Rattus norvegicus: one gene and its partner. The protein of the gene in region 1 purifies or fractionates together with the protein of each later gene. This does not show direct contact. Links are inferred from orthologs where the notes say so. Each region holds a gene or a part of one and is shown on either strand. Other genes may lie near its edges.

Region 1 (3,813 bases):
GTGGCAGTTACTGTCTATGATGACTGTATACTTTTGATCTGGATTTTCTGCTCCTCTCCTTACAGTAAGGCACCAGTTACTTAAGAAATAAGGATGTTTAAACCCTTTAACAGAGTTATGGATGTTTAAGGGAAGCGATCTGAAAATTGGATTGAACTCTTGAACTCTCATTCTAGATAAGACTGTAAGTAAACTAATGACATTAAAAACGAAAGAGAGTCTGTGTTTCCAGGGGATTTGCTTCTTGAAGCATGAACTCATTTTCAGAATGATTTCTTTGTAGTCCTCATCTGCATTTTAATATCCTTTATTAAAATCACCCAGAGGTGATCACGCATACTTCAAATCCCACCCTCCCAAACCCTCTCACGTACGAATATAAAAAACAGGACGGACAATGAAAATATATAGCAATATATAGCACATGCCTGCATATTAATGCTTTTGAGAGAATGACTTGTGATGGCTCAGACCGCGACTATAGGACAGCCCCGTGGCCTCGTCAGAAGAGAACCCCTGAAAGTGAGCCCCAGAAGAAAAGAGTAGAAAAATCCGTCACTGATACCCCTGAGAATTCAAATGAATAAAAGAACATAGGGTAGGTGTAACAAACTGTGAGATCGTCTCCATATGTTTTTCTAAGCAATTTCCTTCCGTTTCCATCCTGTTGAAAAGTCCGAGAGAGCATCATATGTGATCCAAAGTCTAGCAGTTCTGCTGTTCCCCAGTAGATGGCGATGTTGTACACAAAGCACAGTTTGCACCATCGCTCTGGAGGGCCTATGCAGCTCAAGTATTTTTAAAAGTCATATAATTTCCCCTCTACACTTATAAGTGAGTACTTAGGAAGAAAAACGGGTAGTTGAAGGATTGTTTTTTCATCCAGTCTCTTCAGCAGAGAAATTTCACTACACGTGACGTTCCAGGAGGTTGCTATCAAAGTCCCAAAATACGAAACGCATCTCTCAAGTCATCGACTTCATACAAGGGCTGCAGAAAAGAGAGATACAAACAGAGTGAATGGATTTAAATTTGAGCTGGGGCGGGGGAAGCGTCTGAACGAAGTGGGTGCTCCAGAGGAAAGTATATTGGGATGAGGTCTAGGAAAAAGAAGGGGAGAATTCTGGCCTGGAAGGAATCCCACCTGAGGGGAGGATAACAGAAAGAAACAGTTATGAGGACTGAGCGAAGAGGAAGCTACAGGAAAGAGGCTAAGTGGGAGCTCAGCCCTGGGCAAAGATCAAAGAGAAAACTGGAGTGTAAGTGCAGTGAAGTATTCGTCACGTGAAACAACACGAGATACAACTAACTATCTAAGAGGCTGGTGAGTAGGGGGGGAGACAGACACACACACACACACACACAGAGAGAGAGAGAGAGAGAGAGAGAGAGAGAGAGAGAGAGAGAGAGAGAACTTACCAAAAGGATGCGCCGAAGCTGTCTGGTTAGCCTGACGGAGTTTTCATGCAGCCCTTCCCAGGCTTTGAAAGTTCTTTCATGATTTTCTACAAATGTATTCCAGCAGTAAAAATAGTCTTAAGAGAGAAATAAATGCATAAATAAGAAGGTGCGTCTGTGCGCGCGCACATACAAACAGTGTGTAGGTGAAGGTCAGAAAGTCAGACACAATTAGTGAGATTTCTTTTCTTCCACCATGTGGGGTTTCAGGGATCAAACTTGAGCCACCAAGGCAAGTGTCCCCACAGAACCATCTCTCTGACCACCACCACCACCACCATCACCATCACCATCATCACCATCATCATCATCATCGTTAATTTGTTATTTGATTGCTGACGGTGGAACGCAGGGCTTTGCACGTGCTAGATAAGAGTTCTGTCACTTAGTGCACCTGTAGCCCTCCCAACTTCTATCTCTCAAATTCTGATAATTCTGAGATTAAGCATACTTATAGTTCCACCACTCAGAAGGCACAGGGCAGAGAATTGAAAGCCTGAGATAGTGAGACCCTACCTCAAAAAATAAAATAATACATTTGATATCTAGTATGAATTGAGAGTCTTTTTTTTTTCTTTTTTTTTTTTTTTTTCGGAGCTGAGGACCGAACCCAGGGCCTTGAGCTTGCTAGGCAAGCGCTCTTCCACCGAGCTAAATCCCCAACCCCTCATGAATTGAGAGTCTTGATGTCGCCCTCTGCCCCCAGTGTCCCAGCCGACTCTCACTCTGAGTGACAACTCAGATCTCCTCTCCTGTGCACCCGTCTCACCTTTGAAGGTCATGATCCCGATCTGGACTCCGGCGCGGTGCAGCCTCCGCAGCCCCTCAGGCTCAGCCTTGCGGTCTTCGCAGAAGTAGAGGCGCGCGGTGAAAATCCTCAGGCTGAGGTTAGGGTTCCATCTCAGAAACTCAGCCACGTGCCGCGCACAGTCGTAGCAGGGGCTCCAGGAAGTGAACCAGGTGACACGGTAACACCGGCCGGGGTCCAGGTCCCAGTCCGAGATGTAGCGTAGGAACAACAATTCCACGTGGCAGCCCGACTGGAGAAAGAGCAGAGAGTGCTGGTGACGAGACAGTCAATGCTGTCCTACCCAGGCCATTTGGGATGCTTGTGGGAATGTCGCATGGCTGGCCTGGAACTCGCTATGTAGACCAGGCTGGCCTCAAACTCACAGAGATCCACCTGCCTCTGCCTCCAGAGTTATGGGATTAAGGGTGTGCGCCACCATTCCCAGAATAAAGTTAATTGTCTTGTTAAGAGAGCACTTATTGGAGCCAAATCTTTTTTTTTTTTTTGGAGGGTTTTTTTTTTTTTTCGGAGCTGGGGATCGAACCCAGGGCCTTGCGCTTCCTAGGCAAGCGCTCTACCACTGAGCTAAATCCCCAACCCCGAGCCAAATCTTTTTATTACATTGGCTCTGTAGGGTCAAGAAAAGTTGCAGATTTATGGGACAAGGGATTTATCACACACCTTTGTGATTGTTTGGATGCCATGTTGTAAAACTGCATCTTGGCCACTAGGTGGCGCCAGGACAATTTGTAAGGAGGGTTAGGGCACAGCTTGGAGGGAAAGCTTATTGAAGAGACTCAAGTCTAACTTTGTGTGTAAGTGGAAGGCAATTAAGTAATGTGTGTGTGTGTGTGTGTGTGTGTGTGTGTGTGTGTGTGTGTGTGTGCACGCGCGCGCGTGCGCGCGCGATCCCAGTGACTGTGATAACTGCAACCGTAATAGGCCCATGTCCTACTGTGAAAATCATTAGTCTAAGACTGAAGATGGTTTTTATTCTACTCATCTTTTTTGCGCTATTTCTTTAGCAGTAAAGCAAACTGGTGTTTTGAGCACTGCGTGCAAAGAGAAAGTACTACTTGACCAAGCTGTCTAAAAATACAGTGCGTCATGACTCCAAGTAGGGAAGAGATTGTGTGTAAAACGATAGTGTTGAAGTAAGTTTTCCCCACAAAAAGGGAACCTTCATTATAAATAGCCAACTCCATGAGCGTGTGCGTGTGCGTGTGCGTTGCCCTTGTGGGAAAGCATTGGATTCCCTGGATCAGGAGTTTCAGATGGTTGTGAGTTGACATGGGAATACTGGGAATCTAGCCCAGGTCACGGCGGAGCAGCCTCTGGGTGGAGGGTTTTGGGGGGAGGGGGCTCCTTTACTTAATGGGGGGGGTGAAGTGGAATGGGGAGACATAGAAAAGTTTGGGGACAGTTCTTACTGTCATTGAAGCAGAGTGTGGCAATAGGGTTCCCAGCGTGACTACCAACCTTCAGGCCCAGAATGTGGAAAGAACCCTAGGAAGCTGGTGGAGACATTAATCAAATAACCCGAAAAGGTTCAGTGTGGTGGCACA
Region 2 (4,546 bases), on another chromosome or scaffold:
GACGGATTGAGTCTGTGAACAGCAGAGGAAGTGCTCGCAGAGGGAATAATGAGGAGAGGATGCGGCAGTTTGAGGAATAACACGTTTCTCATGTGTAGTTGGAGATAGTTGAATGGGCTTTCTGGGATGGAGTCTGTTGTGATTCCTTACTATTTCAATAACGGGCAAATTCCTTCCCCAGAAACCTCTTTTTATAAAAGTGTGTGTGTGTGTGTGTGTGTGTGTGTGTGTGTGTGTGTGTGTGTGTGTGTGCTTCTGGGTGTAAATGGAGGCCAGAAGAGACCATCGGATCCTCTAGAACTGGAGTTAAAGGCAATTGTGAGCTGTTCAACATGGCTGCTGGGAAGTAAACTGGGTTGTCTAGAGAGCAGTAAGTGCTCCTAAGTGCTGAGCCATTTCTCCAGACTCCCAGACCTTTTTTATACTGTTTGGGTAGACGTGAAGATTATCCAATTGCTACTGGGTCTTGTGCCAATGACAGAAGCTCAGAAAAAACAAACAAACAAACAAACAAACAACAAACACGATATCAACGTTTTCTCAGTCACCAGTAATCTATGCCCAGGTGCCAATTTGTAAGCCAGCACTGTCCAGGGGAAGCATAATGGGAACCCCAAAATGAAATCCATGTAAGCAATTTCAGTATATCTATTAAGTGCACTTAACAAATAAGAAACTCAAATTCATTTCATATTTCCCTTTACCCATAAGTTAAAAAAAAGACACCAGTTCAAGTATGAAAAATCCAGTGTACATTTGATTCACACTTAACCTCTCAATTAGGACTAGCCACACTTCAAGTGCCCAGTAGTCACATGTGATAGGACTAGCCACAGGCGACTATCATATGGGACGCAGGATTTTAAACCTTAGCTCCTCTCTCCCTCCCTCTCTCCCCTCTCCTCCTCTCTCTCTAACCCATGCGAGACAGGGTTTCTCTGTGTAGCCCTGGCTGTCCTGGAACTCGTTTCTGTAGACCAGGTTGGTCTCGAATTCAAGAGATCTGCTCGCTTCTGCTTCTCCAGTACTGGGATCAAAGGCGTACAACACCGCCAACCAGTCAACTCAATTTCTTTTTTTTTTTTTTTTTTTTTTGGTTCTTTTTTTCGGAGCTGGGGACCGAACCCAGGGCCTTGCGCTTCCTAGGCAAGCGCTCTACCACTGAGTTAAATCCCCAGCCCCACAACTCAATTTCTTTATCTGTGAAATGAGGGTGAAATAAGAACAAAAGTGGCAGTCTCTGGAAGACGTGGAAGGTTACCCACGAAACATCAGGCATTCTGCTCTACACTTGGATGACCGCCTAGTTTTTAGGTTTGTTCCCTTAGCATCCTCCCACTTTCCTGCCCCTTCAGGATCCAGGCGGAAGCAGAATAGTCAAACTGCGGCGCGCTTTACGGCAGCGCTTTCTTTTACGGCAGTGTGGCGAGAGCGCCGGCCACGCGCTCTTTTACTCTATTGGTTCTGAGGCCTGGCGCTTTACGGCAGTGTGGCAGGAAAAGCCTCTAAGCGGCCCGTGGTTCGGGAGTAAGTGGAGGCAACCAGGGTACACTGTGCTGATTGGGTCCGGAACCATGGACGTGGGCGAACTTTTAAGCTACCAGGTAGGTGCAGTTGGCAGGGCCGGAGAGCTCCTCATCCTCGTTGGCGTCGCAAGGAAGAGCCCGGTCATCTTGCCTCCTCTCGGTCCCTGGCCCTCACTTCTCATGTCACCCGGGCTTGCATCCTGTCATTGCACTTCACTCCCCTAAGCCCTCGTGGACCCTTTCGACCCCTTCTTTCTCCAGGCCTGAGCCATTTGATCTCTGTTCCCCACCCGGCAGCCCGATTCCCTTCAGCTCCTCTTCGGCCTCATTTCTTCCAATTCATAGCGCTTAAGACAGTTGTGGAGAACACTGCTTTTTATTTCGGTGTCAGTTTCTTTACCAAGAGTCGGTGTAGCTTTGGATAAGTCTTTCTCCCGTCACGGAGTCTCGTTTTTTCTTTTAAAATCTATAAAATGGATATATGTGAAAGGTCATTTGAAAGTGCAGAAACCTGTGGCCATGGTCCCCGCAATTGTTAAGATACTTGGAAAATGAATCATGGAATGGGTCCCTCAGAGACCTCTTGACCTCCTTGCTCAGGGTACTTGTGGGGAACGGGTGACCTAGAGAGAAGAAAGGACTTGCCCGAGGTCACTCAACAGCTACAGACTAGATAAAGTTCAAGTGTCCAGGCTCCCGGCCCAAAGTTTTCGCCCTCTTTTGACTGCCTAACTGCCTAATGAGGTTCCTTGGGTCCAGCCTTGTTTTCACTAGCTGCAATAGCGTCGGAGCTCATACAGGGTAATTAGTCTGAATTAGGAAGTACTGTTTTGTAAATCACACCTCATTCTAAAGACATAGTATGAAAAAAGGTAGTATTTTTATATTGATTACAGAGCCTTGATCATGTTGGTTGAATGAGTATATACGAGACCATCATATGATGGAGCATACTTTGGGTAATGGAAATAAAATACAATTTTAGCCAACCTTGCCCACTTGTGTAGTGTTCAAACTGTGATTGTTTTAAAAGACCAGAGTAGGTGATGAGAAGCTGTGAGCCTGAACTGCTGGCCATGGATGCCTTAATCTCAGTGCCTGAAAGTTGGGAGGCAGAGGCCCCAGGTCACTAAATTCCAGGCCAGCCAGCGATACTTAGTGAAACAACCCCCTGATCCTCCAAAAGCCTGGATTTGGAGCCCCAGGTTGCCTTCAATCTCTTCTTTTTCTTACTGACTGGTTGTAACCTTGAACAGAATACCTCATGCTACCTACCTTGTGTCTGTTGTGAAGAAATTTTTTCTTCTGTTAAGAAATTTACAGTGGGCCAGGTGGTTGTGGCACATACCTTTCATCCCAGCATGCAGAGGCAGAGGCCAGAGCCAGAGGCAGATGGATCTCTCTGAGTCCAAATCCAGCCTGGTCTACAGAGTGAGTTCTAAGACAGCCAGGGCTACCCAGAGAAACTCTGTCCTAAAAACAAAACAAAACAAAACAAAACAAAACAAAATGAAAGAACAACAACAAAAAACTAGCTATGCATAGCAGTTGGTGGCTCACACCTTTAGTCCCAGGATTTGGGAGGAGGCAGAGGCAGGCAGATCTTTCAAGGCCAGCCTGGTCTACAGAGTGAGTTTCAGGACAGCCAGGGTCTCACAGAGAAATCCTGTCCAGAAAACCAAAACCAAAAGAAAAAGAGAAAAAAAAGTGTTAGGCTAGTGTTTGTTGCAGAGTATAATAACAGTCCATAAATACTAATATTGGTAATTATTTCCTTTAGCCAATATATAAACCCTGATCCCATAGATGGAGACTCCAAGCCTGATGAGAAAGAATACATAAGTGTCAGAGAACAGATGCGAGGCCACAATATTTTCCCCTTTAAGACAGTGTAATTGATAATGGAACAAGAAAGGTGGTGGGAAGGTCACTGAAGAATACTCGTTTGGGAGTTCTGGGCTAAATCCATAGTCTAAATCTGTAGAGTCCAGTCCATTGATTCAGAGCTGGAACAGTGCAGCCAGGAGAGGCCCATTTGGCTACAGATACTTGTTGGACATTTACTGTGCACAAGCTACTTGGTCCTTTGAGCATATGATGTGGAAATAAACAAGACAAGGCTCTTGCTTTTGAAAAGGCAAATACAGTGGGGGAGCCGCCAGAGAATATTGAGTAAGCAAATAAGAAACTTAGATGGCCAGAAGTGTTATGAGGGAGTGCGGCAGAATCCGCTGTGGAAATGTGAGCATGTTTGGCGTCTGCTGTGCGCATGACTGTTGGATATCGAAAGAGTGGCCCACCTGCATCAAGTGCTTATGTGTAAAGTACACACTGCGTCTCACAGCTTTATTGGGGAATGATGAACTATCTTAATTTTTAAGGTAGATTACGTTTATACATTGGATTAAGGATAATAGATTTTTAAACTTAAATTTCGTGCCTACTTCTGAGTTTAAACTTCTATGTAAGGTTTGTGACTCTCATTGTATTTCTGTTGGCCAACGCCGCTGTGTATAACTCCTTTCAGGGCCTCTGTAGACTGAGTGGTCAGGGAAGGAGTCTGACGGGCCAGCGTTAGTGCCCTGAAGGTTAAGGAGCCAGCATATGACAGGGCAGAATGATGAAGTCAGGGGCAGAGACTGTGAGCACAGGCTCCAGGACCATTAGACAAGCAGAGAGAAGAGCCATGTAACCCAGCCTTGGTGAGTGAGCAGGACACCAGAAGGTGACACGGCATCTGGAAATATTGGCAGATTACAGTTGAGGTAGGACCTCCTTAAGGGCCAGAAGAAAGCCTTTGCATTTTGAGAGGTGATACAGATGTCTTCATTTAACCCACCTGTTTGTAGCTTAAACAAGAACTCAGATCTGATAGACAGACCTAGCTAACGTTTCAAGCCGGGGCAGTGATTGACAGGCCAAGGCGGTGACTTGACGTGTCTCCAGAATCTTGGTCGTGTATTTGCAACTCTGTTCCTTTCAGCACAGTCTACCTCCATTCCTATCTGAAAAGGTCAGAG

What was found.
Region 2: the proteins of Aicda (region 1) and Ctnnbl1 purify together in Homo sapiens (affinity purification with western blotting; 3 studies listed by BioGRID, with this or other methods). This does not show direct contact. The link is inferred for Rattus norvegicus from reciprocal best matches to the Homo sapiens genes AICDA and CTNNBL1.

The regions. Positions count from the first base shown.
Region 1 is NC_086022.1:157,452,501-157,456,313, reverse strand, and holds the end of Aicda (single-stranded DNA cytosine deaminase), read right to left. Parts: intron 2,499-3,813; coding exon 2,228-2,498; intron 1,536-2,227; coding exon 1,420-1,535; intron 991-1,419; coding exon 937-990; 3' UTR 356-936; downstream 1-355. UniProt on the Homo sapiens protein: Single-stranded DNA-specific cytidine deaminase. Involved in somatic hypermutation (SHM), gene conversion, and class-switch recombination (CSR) in B-lymphocytes by deaminating C to U during transcription of Ig-variable (V) and Ig-switch (S) region DNA.
Region 2 is NC_086021.1:166,806,377-166,810,922, forward strand, and holds the start of Ctnnbl1 (beta-catenin-like protein 1), read left to right. Parts: upstream 1-1,522; 5' UTR 1,523-1,574; coding exon 1,575-1,604; intron 1,605-4,546. UniProt on the Homo sapiens protein: Component of the PRP19-CDC5L complex that forms an integral part of the spliceosome and is required for activating pre-mRNA splicing.